Oryctolagus cuniculus: one gene and its partners. The protein of the gene in region 2 purifies or fractionates together with the protein of the main gene of each other region. This does not show direct contact. Links are inferred from orthologs where the notes say so. Each region holds a gene or a part of one and is shown on either strand. Other genes may lie near its edges.

Region 1 (3,652 bases), on a different chromosome or scaffold from region 2:
GTCTGCATAGGAAAGAGGAAAAGTCTTAGTGGTTCTTAGACTCACTAGCTACGGTACCAATTTACTCAACATACTCTAAATCCCAGTTTCCTTATTTATAAAAAGGTTATAGCACAGTACTTGGTCCAGAGCACTCAACCATAACATTAACACTCACTATTATTACCATCAGTAATAACACTACCATCAGCTCAGTATTACCATCAGTAATGAAGAATCATTAAAGCTCAGTGATTTTCACTGAGTACCAGTAATAGAATCCTATCCTTTGCATATGCCCAATAAAATGCTTACACTAAACATAATTTTTAAAATAAAACAACTCTGACAAATATGTACACATTTACATAGCAATTCTAAATTGAATAAATTTAATTTGAAGTTTACTGTCAAATATTTTCTGTTTACCTTTTTGGAGTATATATATAAGTTAGGTGTTCTGCCTGGGACTGGAATGCCAGCTTTAGTTAACTTTATGAAATACTTCTGTACTCGGCTCGCAACCTAAAGAAACATGACAAGCCCTTTAACATAATGACATGGTACGGAATATCTAAGTAGCTTTTAAAAATTAAAATGTAAATGTCAATCAATCATCGCTAACAGTTTAAAATTCATCATAAAGTCTAGAATAAGTTCAAATTGCCACTAAATACATTTTTATTTAACACCACATACTATAGCACTCCATGGCTAAAAAGGATATGGTGGCTCAGCTGATTCAGCTGTGCTAGCCTTCATTCAAAAACTACCAAAACCATGCCAAGGACCCGCAGCTGTCTCCTCAAGTACCTGTTTTGCCGTCCTATTGCCCAGTTCATCTGCTATCTTCTGCCAGCGTCGAGATTCTACTTCTTCAGGAGGGTATTTCAGGAGTAGCTGTTCAAGTTTTTTCTAAGCAAGCACAAGACCAAATTTAAGAAAACAACTATTCAATCTGAAATACTGAATTTATAAATAAATACATTCACAATACATTGTCATACAATGTAATACATTGTAATACAAGTGTAATCCTCCTTCCACAACTTGGGGGTTGTGTTAGAAAATAAGACTCAGGGGCTGGTGCTGTGGCATAGCAGGTAAAGCTGCTGCCTGCAGTGCCAGCATCCCATATGGATGCCAGTTCAAGACCTGGCTGCTCCACTTCTGATCTAGCTCCCTGCCAGTGGCCTAGGAATAACAGTGTTTGGGCCCCTGCCACCCACGTGGGAGACTGGGAAGAAGTTCCTGGCTCCTGGAGCCTGACCAGCCTTTGCAGCCAAATTGCAGCCAAATTGGGGAGTGAACCAGCGGAAGGAAAATTTCTGTCTCTCTCTCTTTCAAAATAAATAACCTTAAAAAAAAAAAAAAAAAAGACCTAATTCACTTAAGTTAAAAAGCACAAGAAAACAGAAAATAAGTAAGTAAACAGGTCTTCTACACAGCTCAGTGATTTCCACTATCTTTTTCCTGCTGGAATATGCCAGGCTCTCCCCTATACTTTTTAACAAAAAATGCAAATTCATTTGGATTTAGAATATTAAGAGCTATTTCCCCTCCTTGTGTGGTTCTCCATTCAAAGTATTCAAAACCCATCTCCTAAATTATTTCAGGGTCTTAAATATGGAAAATAATCTGGATGCTTGAAATAAGTAAAGGTTTCCTAAAGCCTTTTATAAACTGCTAAACTCATTATAGCTATGGAGTTAATCCCCATATGGGTCACAGATGTGTCTCAAACTTCACCCACAAACAATCCTAGCCTAATACCAAAAACAATCCTAAACTGTATGCCAGAATGTGAGAGAACACTGCCATGGCCTTGCCAGATTCCCTCCACACACAAATTAAGAACGCACTCTGAGTTCTGCTTACTTGGCCTCATGTTCTACCCCCTAACCCCAGAAATCTGGATTACAAAACAACTACTCCACACCACTCCCGAAACTCAGGCTTCCTTTAAAAATTATCCCCAAACAGGGGTTGACATATTCTCAAGATCCAAAAAGTCTTTTAGTGTAAAGAAGAGTATGTACAAATATAGCTAAATATTTTAAACTCATGATTAAGAGGGATTCCATAAACAATATGTACTTGGCTCATAATGCACTGACTCTAATATTAACAACTTTTTTTTAAAATATACACAATTTAAAATATTACCTGTTCTTCAACAGTCCACAGTTGGTTAAATGTTTCTGGTTTGGTATCATCACAAAGGCGGCCTCTTATCATCTGCACATAAAACAAGGTTTTCGTCAAAGGGACAATAATAAAGACTACCTTTTGATAAAGCCAAATAACATACAAATTGTTAAATTTTTAAAGAATTTCAACATATTTTAGTAAATTTATTTTCTAAAGGTAAACATCAGTTTTTACTATTTATAAAATGCTCTTACATTCTTGTAGTTAATTTGATTTTATAATCCTAGTAATCCTGTGATGTAGATGACAGCAACTTCATTTTACAGAAAAGAAAATAAGAAAATGGGAGTTCAAAATGGAAAACTCTCTCAGTCTAACTCTGCCTTTCAATAAATAAATAAAATCTTAAAAAAAAAAAAAGCAGGGGGGTGATGACAGTGTGGCAGCGCCATCCGAGACTCTGGACACTGACTCTGCTGCTCCACTTCTGATCTGGAAAGTAGTGTAATATGTCCTAAACAGGTACAATGTGTCAAGCGCTTCAGCTCCTGCTGTTCACATGGGACACTGGAATGGAGTTCTTGGCTTCTGGCTTCAGCCTGGCCCAGCCCTGACCTATACAGCCATTTGGGGAGTGAACCAGCAGATGGAAGGTCTCTCTCTCTCTCCCAGTCTCTCTGTAACTCTGCCTTTTAAATAAACAAAATCATTTTTAAAGTGGGAAAATTAACATGTCTGGTTAGGTTCATCTAATGGTCACAAGTATAGGCCTTAAATCCTGGTTAATATTCCACTATACACCAAAAGTCATTGTAATTTTTAGGGTCAATACTGTGTGTCAAATACTGGACTAGAAACATTCAATGTATCTACCCACTGAATCCTAACAATAACTTTACAATATAGGTAATATTAATTTCATTTAATATTAGAGGAAACTGTAACTTGGAGATTTTAACATAACATAAATGATATCTAAGGCTCCACAGGGAGCAAGATGGGACTCCAATGTGCTTCTCCAAACTTCAAAGATCATGTTCCAGTTAAAGACTGCTTTAATTTTAAAAATCATAAACCTGTAAAATGTTAAAACATTTCATCTACAATTCAAATTTTCCTACTCCAATGTTTCATACTGCTCACCTGAGGACGACTGTGTGAGCCTTCTGGACCATCACTCAAAGGCAACACAGAGTATGAAAGAGACTCTCCATCCTTCTTAGGATCTAAAGGACTTTTTGGTCTAGCGGGTAAACCTACTAAAAACAAGACCATGTACAGAATTAAGCAAGTAAGACAATGTCAGATTTTTTTTATTTAAATTCTTACATAACTTCTTACCTTTATCAAAAACTAGTTTAACTCTCCTAGTATGTCTTTTACGATTTTTAAATTCCCTTTCAAAGTTTCCAAGGCTATTGGTATATTGGTCCCATACAATTTCAGGCAACTGAACAACTCTCTGTGGATATGGAAGCCCTATATCAGCCTGAAAAAAAACCAACAGCAACAAAATCCAAGT
Region 2 (3,652 bases):
GCGATGGAAGCGGAGCAGCCAGAGCTTGAATTGCCTCTCTGATAGGAGCCTCTGTGTGAAGAAGTCCAGTCAGTGCCTCCGTGGCCCAGTGAAGCTTGAACTTGCTCTGATAAGGTGCGGGGATTCTAGGTAAACAGAGCAGCAAAGGAAAATGAATAAGTCACTCATTTCACTTTACTCAAGAGCAAGAATAATTGAGGTCAAAAGATAGTTTTCTGGAGTTTATATATATGTTAAAGATTTATTCATTTATTTGAGAGGTAGAGTTAGACAAGGAGAGACAGAGAGAGAGGTCTTTCATCTGCTGGTTCACTCCCCAAATGGCCACAATGGCTAGAGCTGGGCTGATCGGTAGTCAGGAGCTTCTTCCAGGTCTCCCAGCCGGGTGCAGGGGCCATCTTTGACTGCTTTCCCAGGCCACTAGTAGGGAATGGGATTGGAAGTGGAGCAGGTGGGACACTGGTGCTGCAGGCAGCAGCTTAACCTACTACACCACAGCACCAGCCCCTGGTTTTTATATTTAACAGGTTGATACTTTTGATAGGAAATGCAGTCTTTATATGTGCAACAATCTTCTGATTGTTCATTCCGTACACACTGAGCACCTGCTTCGTGCCAGGCACTGTAGTCTAGGAAATGATGCTTCCTAGGTTTCTGTAGTATAAAGTGCTGGTGGTAATAGTATTCTTTAAAGGATGGTCAGAGAAAGCCTTATTTTGAGCCAGGACCTGAACTTGGCGAGAGTTAGCCTTGGGATTTTCAGAGTAGAGGGACAATTGCTAAAGCTGTCAGGTGTGCATCCTTGTTAAATAATATCAGAGCAATCAAGTGGCTGGAAGCATCTGAGTATGGGGAGAATGGCCAGGGTGTGGTGAGCCATGTAGGCCATTATGGGCTTTGTTTTTTTAGTCTAAGTGAAATGGTTTGAACAGAGAAAGGACAGTACCTGACTTGCATTTTGGAAGGATCACAGATGCTGTATTGGAGACCAGTTTGAAGGTTTTGATCATGCAGGGAGAGGTGGGCGTGGTCTGAACCAAAGTGGTCACAGGGGAGGTGGTGAGAAGTGGGATTTTGGATGTAATTGTGGACTTGAAAGTTGAGGGCCCTCAATTACCTGTCCCTCTTCCCCAAAAGTTTGTTAATGCAAATCTGTGGGAAAGCTGCTTTTCAATACTTTTCTGGGACAGAGGAGGAAATGTGGCATGTAGGGAGAAATGTAAATAGAAGAAAGTAACGATAGAACATGTTGCAACCCCTGAGTTGTCATGTGTCCCTGTGTATGTTTCTCCTGCCAAGTAACTACCAAAGCCCAACAGAAATGCAAATTGATCTTTACAGAAGCTATTCAGTGTCTTGTGAAATGAATGTAGTGGAAAACAGGACTCCTAGCCAAAAAGGAAGAATTATTGGTGTGTGGCGAGAGGATATGTCCAATAGTGTATAACATGGAAATAGGAGCTAAGGATTTCATTCTGACTTTTGTTTGCTTATTTCCTATTCCTTTGTATAAGTGTCTTTGCATGGTATTTTAAGAATAAAGGTTGTAAGAAGAAACATTGAAGAATGTCTCAGAAATTTTTATTTTGTATTTAGGTGGTCCAGTGCCAAGAGACATTTATCAGAGGATTAAAAAACTTGAGGATAAAATACTTGAATTGGAAGGCATCTCTCCTGAATACTTTCAGTCTATAGTGAGTATAAGTATCTTTTAAAAATAACTAAAGGCAATATTTTAAGATTCTTCATTGTGTAACATTTCATTCATTGATCTATATGTGAAAACAGTTTTAATAGATAGATGAACGAACACAGTCCCATGTTAGGGGTTTCTTTGAAAACTCCCAATTTTGCATATTTTTAAAAGGATACTTTTATAGCTCTCTCAAATTCTCAGACATGATCCATTTTTGCAGCACAATCTGTCAGCCTGGATAGTGGAGGATGCCATCCCTGTAAACTTGCTATTTTGAATCCGAGGCTTCCTCTGAAACCATGCTTTGTAGTTAGCCCTTCTTTGACTTCATCCCTCTCTCCCCACACACTCCTTCCCTCAACTCATACCTGGTACCTTTCCTCATACCAGACCTCACACTGCCACCTGTTTTACTTAAGTCCTCAGTTCTAGCATTAGTTCATTTTATAGCACTTACCACTTATAATTATGTTTACACATCTGTTTTTCACTCTGTTTTGAAACTCTCAATGGCAGGAACTGTGTCCTCATTCTTCAGTACACAGAATATAGACATGGAGTAAATGTGCAGATGAGTGGATGGGACTGATAGTTTATTATTGGACTTTTGAAAGTGCTCCAAAGCAGAGCCTGGACATAAATTCCAGTCTGTAACGCTAACTCTTTTAAAAAGTAGTATCTGGGGCCAGGAACGCTGCAGGTCAAGTCAGCATCATGCCTGGAGGCCCTTTGTGAGTGAAAGTGAGTGGTGAACCTGAGGCCGGAGCAAACGGTTGAAAGCAGCTGGATACAAATTAGAAAACATTTCAGAGGGCTTTGAAGGTCACATTAACCAGTTTGCACTGTCAGAGTCACTGGAACACATTCTAGTTTTTGAGAGAGTTGTCATCTAAGTCCCCTTCTAGCGGCATTATGAAGTCTGAGTTGGAGAAATTGGAGTCAAGGAAGCGGGACAAAAGAAAAAAGACAAAAAGAAGACAGGGACAAAGCTGGAGAGCAGTGGGACCAGAGGGAACATTTAGGACCTCGGTGTGCAGATTCAGTTGCGCTTTAACCACTTTCTTTGCTTTTAATCAGTTGTAGTCATGGGAGAGGCCTCCTTACTCTTGAGTTTCCTTAGAGCGTGGCTCCCTGGACTTGCATGTTTTCCAGTGGGATGTGGGTATTGTAACCATAGCTAGCCGGTACCTGCTAAGATAAAACAATGGAAGCTGGGTCCCAGCTGTTTCTTTAGTGTGTTGTGCTCACAATTACGTGTTTAGGTGCCCATGCCTGGGTAACCACAGTGCCTGCTACAGTGAATCAGGGTTCATCCCTTGGTCTGGTGCCAAATTCCATTTTCCTCTTTATTGCTGCTCTGGTTGTTCAGTGTTGGGGGATAGAAAGGTTATAAAAAGGACATTAAGTGAAAATCCCCAGGACACCGCCCCCACACTCAGTCTATTAGAAGTGGCCCATAACAGGAGAGTGAGTATGGCAGAGCCAAGTGTGATGCTGCAGTGTCACTACTGTTGGGTACTTCCACTGTCATGATCTTCCGAAGCCAACTTCCCGTTGGTTGCAGATACTGTTTTCTGAGTTTATGGGCATTGTTTCTGTCAGGGTTATTAAAAGCTCTGTGTTCTGTATAGTAATTTCTAAAGGGAAAACGATGCTTACATTAACTAAATATTGAATACTTTTCTTTTAACATTTATTCTAGAACTTTTCTGGAAAAAGAAGAAAAGTTCAACCCCCTCAGGTAAGTTGAATTACTACGTTTTTGTTTTGTCTTCTGAAACTGTTCAGTTTGGTTTTTGTTAAGGTACAGAGGTCTTCCATCGACTGGTTCACTTTCCAGTGCCTGCAACATCTAGAGCTAGGCACTCTCCGTTCAGGTTTCCCAAGTTGGATGGCTGGGACCAGGAACTTAACGCTATTGTCTGCTTCTGCAGACACATTAGCAGGGAACTGGAG
Region 3 (3,652 bases), on a different chromosome or scaffold from region 2:
ACTGAGTCACTGAGAAGTGTACCTTGGCGACACACTTCCTGTGTTTTGACTGAGTTTTGAACAGTGAAGATCTTTATCTTCCCACCAAAGCTTTGGTGGTATGTAAGTGCCGTGTAGGCATTTTAAAGAAGCCTTAACATTTTCTCAGGTGGTAGAATCCTGATTTGTTCACAAAAGGGACTAATTCAGTGTCTCCTTTATTTTTTTCTTTTATCTAAATTACTGTTTGTGCGCCATAAACGTGAATGACATTATGCACTTTACAGACGATAACCTCATTTAGTGCTCACAGGAATCCAGTGAAGTAATTATTGTTGTTCCCATCTTACAGATAAGGAAGTGGAGACTGAGTAACATAATTGTATTTCCAAAGTTACGCAGCCACGTGGTGGCAGAGCAGGGATTTGATCACAGGGCTGTTTGGCTCTGGAACTGTGCGTGAAGCTGAAGAATGGGGTGGTTTCACAGAATTCCGTCCAGGCGGTATTGCGGGGTCATGTACCGTGACTCCCAAGGTGCAGGAGCTGGTGGTGATGTTGCTTGTCACCGAAGGCCTCATTTCCCGTGTGGGTTACTGGACTTGGATACTGCAGATGACCTGGGGTTTACAGGATGTTGATGGTGCTTATCTCCTCTTGTGGCAGGTGGCTGTGTTACTGCAATGTGCCACAGTTCTGTGACAGTCTACCTCGGTATGAAACCACCCAGGTGTTCGGGAGAACGTTGCTTCGCTCAGTCTTCACCGTTATGAGGAGACAACTGCTGGAACAAGCAAGACAGGAAAAAGACAAACTGCCTCTTGAGAAACGAACTCTGATCCTCACTCATTTCCCAAAGTAAGGGCGAGCTCTTGCTGGTCTTTGGCCCGGGACCTGTGGTTTTGCTAAATATGTGCCAAAATATGCATAAACAACAAAATTGGGAATGATAGGAGAAGCTTTCCACAAAGGAGGCAGAAAGGCCCTTCAGTTCCCTTTGTGAGTCTTCTTGGGTGTTTTCCAGTCTTCATTAGGTTGGCTTGATGTTGTCCACAGCCATTGCTCACTTTGCCCTACCTCCTTCTACCTCTGCTAATGTCTCTGAGCCTCATAGAATGGGGCAGTGCTTTGTTTTGTGTATCAGGTGCCAGGAAGTTAGAGGAGGAAGGAGAGAACATGTAGATACACTTTACCGCCTTTCAGAAGTGGTGCAAAGAACTCAAGAGGCTGTTTTTGTCCATTCCAGTTCTCCAACACTTCCTAAGTACCAGTGAACCTCTCTACCTCCCCAGTCTTTGGAATCCATGCTGAAAGAGCAGTGATGAACAGGACTAGAGGCTTCCTTCAGCCTGTCCTTTGTAACTCTTAATTTGTTGTATATTCTCGCTTCTTGGACTTCTGAGAGCTCCAAGACATAAATAATAATTTAAATCTTTTCCAATGAAAGAAATGTGTCAAAGCAATGGGAAGTTCCAGTACTGCGCCATTGGCCTTGGGAATGCATTTTCAGAGCTAAGAACCAAAACTTGATGCTGAAGGGCTGTCTGCTGCCTAGAAGGACTCCAGGTGCAGCTGATGGCTTGTCAACAGAGTGATGGTAGCAGGACACGAGTGAGACAGTTCATTTTGTGGTTGTCACGCCACCTCAATCAGCACTTCAGAGGGGGAGGTAGAAGGTTGAATTTGAGTAGGCTCTCTAGGTATGACATGGCTTTCCTTCCCCATGTCAGTGAGAAGTGCTGATACAGAGAATAGAAATTGAGAGAAAATTTATATTGTTTCATCAAGGACTGATGAAGTATTTTTTAGTTGAGAAACTAGATTTTTATTATTAAGATATACTTTAAGAGCCGGCGCCGTGGCTCAGTAGGCTAATCCTCCACCTTGCGGCGCCGGCACACCGGGTTCTAGTCCCGGTTGGGGCGCCGGATTCTGTCCCGGTTGCCCCTCTTCCAGGCCAGCTCTCTGCTATGGCCAGGGAGTGCAGTGGAGGATGGCCCAGGTGCTTGGGCCCTGCACCCCATGGGAGACCAGGAAAAGCACCTGGATCCTGGCTCCTGCCATCGGATCAGCGCAGTGCGCCGGCTGCAGCGGCGGCCATTGGAGGATGAACCAACGGCAAAGGAAGACCTTTCTCTCTCTGTCTCTCTCTCTCACTGTCCACTCTGCCTGTCAAAAAAAAAAAAAAAAAGATATACTTTAAGTTTTAAGCTTTTTATTCAGTGAGAAATGCATAGGAGAGTGAGGGCCCTATCTAAGAAAGAAAGGGAAATCTGGATTCATACTGAGTACCAGGAGCCAGCCACGTGGAGGAGCATGCAGGCCAGGAAGCATGGGGCAGGTGGCTTGAAGGTCACTTGCCCCAAAGGCACGAAGGCGCCGGGACAGTAAGCAGGTGCAGGGACAGCAAGCAGGCCCAGGGCAAAAGGGAAAGAGGCCAAAAAAGAGGATGGGCCCATCGTGTTCCAGGCCTTTACTCCACTTCCAAAGGGGAATGGTTAATTAACCGTATTGGCTGGTGGGCACACAGGTGTGGCCAGGTAGGGGCATGAGGTCACACAGGAGGCATGGTGAAGGCATGGTCTTGCAGCCCACAAACCTGATCAGTTTTATCCTGTATGCCTGCCTACAACATTCCCCTTTTAGAGACTCCATTCTCTTAATCTTAAGGGATGTTGAAGGGTGTCAAATCATCATGTCTTCTATAGCTGCTTCCTGCTTATGAAGGGCGTAGTGCAGGCCCTGCGTGACCTGGGTCTGGAAATCTCTGTCTGTCTATAAGATATGCTTTTGCATTACCCAATCCTGCCTTACAAAAACTGGTTTTAATTCATAAGAAGAAGTTAGGCCAAGACAATAACAGTAACAAAAATAGTTTTCTGATAGTGATTGAAAATCACTGGGCCGTTTAACCCAAATCCTAAAGTTTAGGTACAGGATAGCATGGATAATTTGAATGAGCTTCAGCTGAACACCCATTTTTTGCCTACATATCCTAGCATCCTGATTGTCAAATTTTTCTTAAGAGAACCAGCGCACAAGACTGAGGCATGATGTGGACATTTTAATGTCCTCTGAGAGGAGGATTCCAAAGCATTGTAGCTTTAGTTTGAACCCTAAAATGGGTTATGAATTCTGGGCATGCTCATGTATTTCAGTGGCATCCTTTTGACTTATCTAAGCTCTTCTCTTTAGAGATTAAGCCAGTTTTCATATTTATCTTTCTACTGCACTTGCCATATAAGCAGTGTTGTATGTTTTCAGATGATAGTTGCTATTCTGTCTCTAAGCCAAGGACCAAGGGGCAGAGGACCCCACTCCCTGCCCCCCCAGCACACACACCTGTTACGGTGCTTACAGAGAAATTCTAATGGTTTTGCAAAGTTACAATTTTTTTCATGGAAAATTCATTTTGGTTTTTGTAGATATTTGCTAATTATAGTGTGTTTTGTTCCTTCAGCCCATAGTTCTGGCATGCTTATGCTGTTGAGCTAAAAAATTAACACTGCTTTCTTTTCTTCTCTGTTACTAATGGTAGGGTAAAACTACCACCCACTTCTCCTTTTAAATCCCTTTTCACTGAATACGACAACATTTGAGGTGGTTGGGGATTTGTACCTAGAGTTTTGGCAGCAGAGTCACACATACTGAAGTCGGAGGTGCTGTTTGAGTCC

The links.
Region 1: the proteins of MBIP (region 2) and ZZZ3 purify together in Homo sapiens (affinity purification with mass spectrometry; 4 studies listed by BioGRID and IntAct, counting the BioPlex papers as one, with this or other methods). This does not show direct contact. The link is inferred for Oryctolagus cuniculus from reciprocal best matches to the Homo sapiens genes MBIP and ZZZ3.
Region 3: the proteins of MBIP (region 2) and KAT2B purify together in Homo sapiens (affinity purification with mass spectrometry; 4 studies listed by BioGRID and IntAct, counting the BioPlex papers as one, with this or other methods). This does not show direct contact. The link is inferred for Oryctolagus cuniculus from reciprocal best matches to the Homo sapiens genes MBIP and KAT2B.

What each region holds. Positions count from the first base shown.
Region 1 is NC_091438.1:94,227,657-94,231,308, reverse strand, and holds part of ZZZ3 (ZZ-type zinc finger-containing protein 3), read right to left. Parts: intron 3,620-3,652; coding exon 3,472-3,619; intron 3,390-3,471; coding exon 3,274-3,389; intron 2,218-3,273; coding exon 2,146-2,217; intron 895-2,145; coding exon 793-894; intron 505-792; coding exon 409-504; intron 1-408.
Region 2 is NC_091443.1:39,337,736-39,341,387, forward strand, and holds part of MBIP (MAP3K12-binding inhibitory protein 1), read left to right. Parts: intron 1-1,596; coding exon 1,597-1,694; intron 1,695-3,398; coding exon 3,399-3,437; intron 3,438-3,652. UniProt on the Homo sapiens protein: Inhibits the MAP3K12 activity to induce the activation of the JNK/SAPK pathway. Component of the ATAC complex, a complex with histone acetyltransferase activity on histones H3 and H4.
Region 3 is NC_091435.1:155,735,812-155,739,463, forward strand, and holds part of KAT2B (histone acetyltransferase KAT2B), read left to right. Parts: intron 1-644; coding exon 645-836; intron 837-3,652. UniProt on the Homo sapiens protein: Functions as a histone acetyltransferase (HAT) to promote transcriptional activation. Has significant histone acetyltransferase activity with core histones (H3 and H4), and also with nucleosome core particles.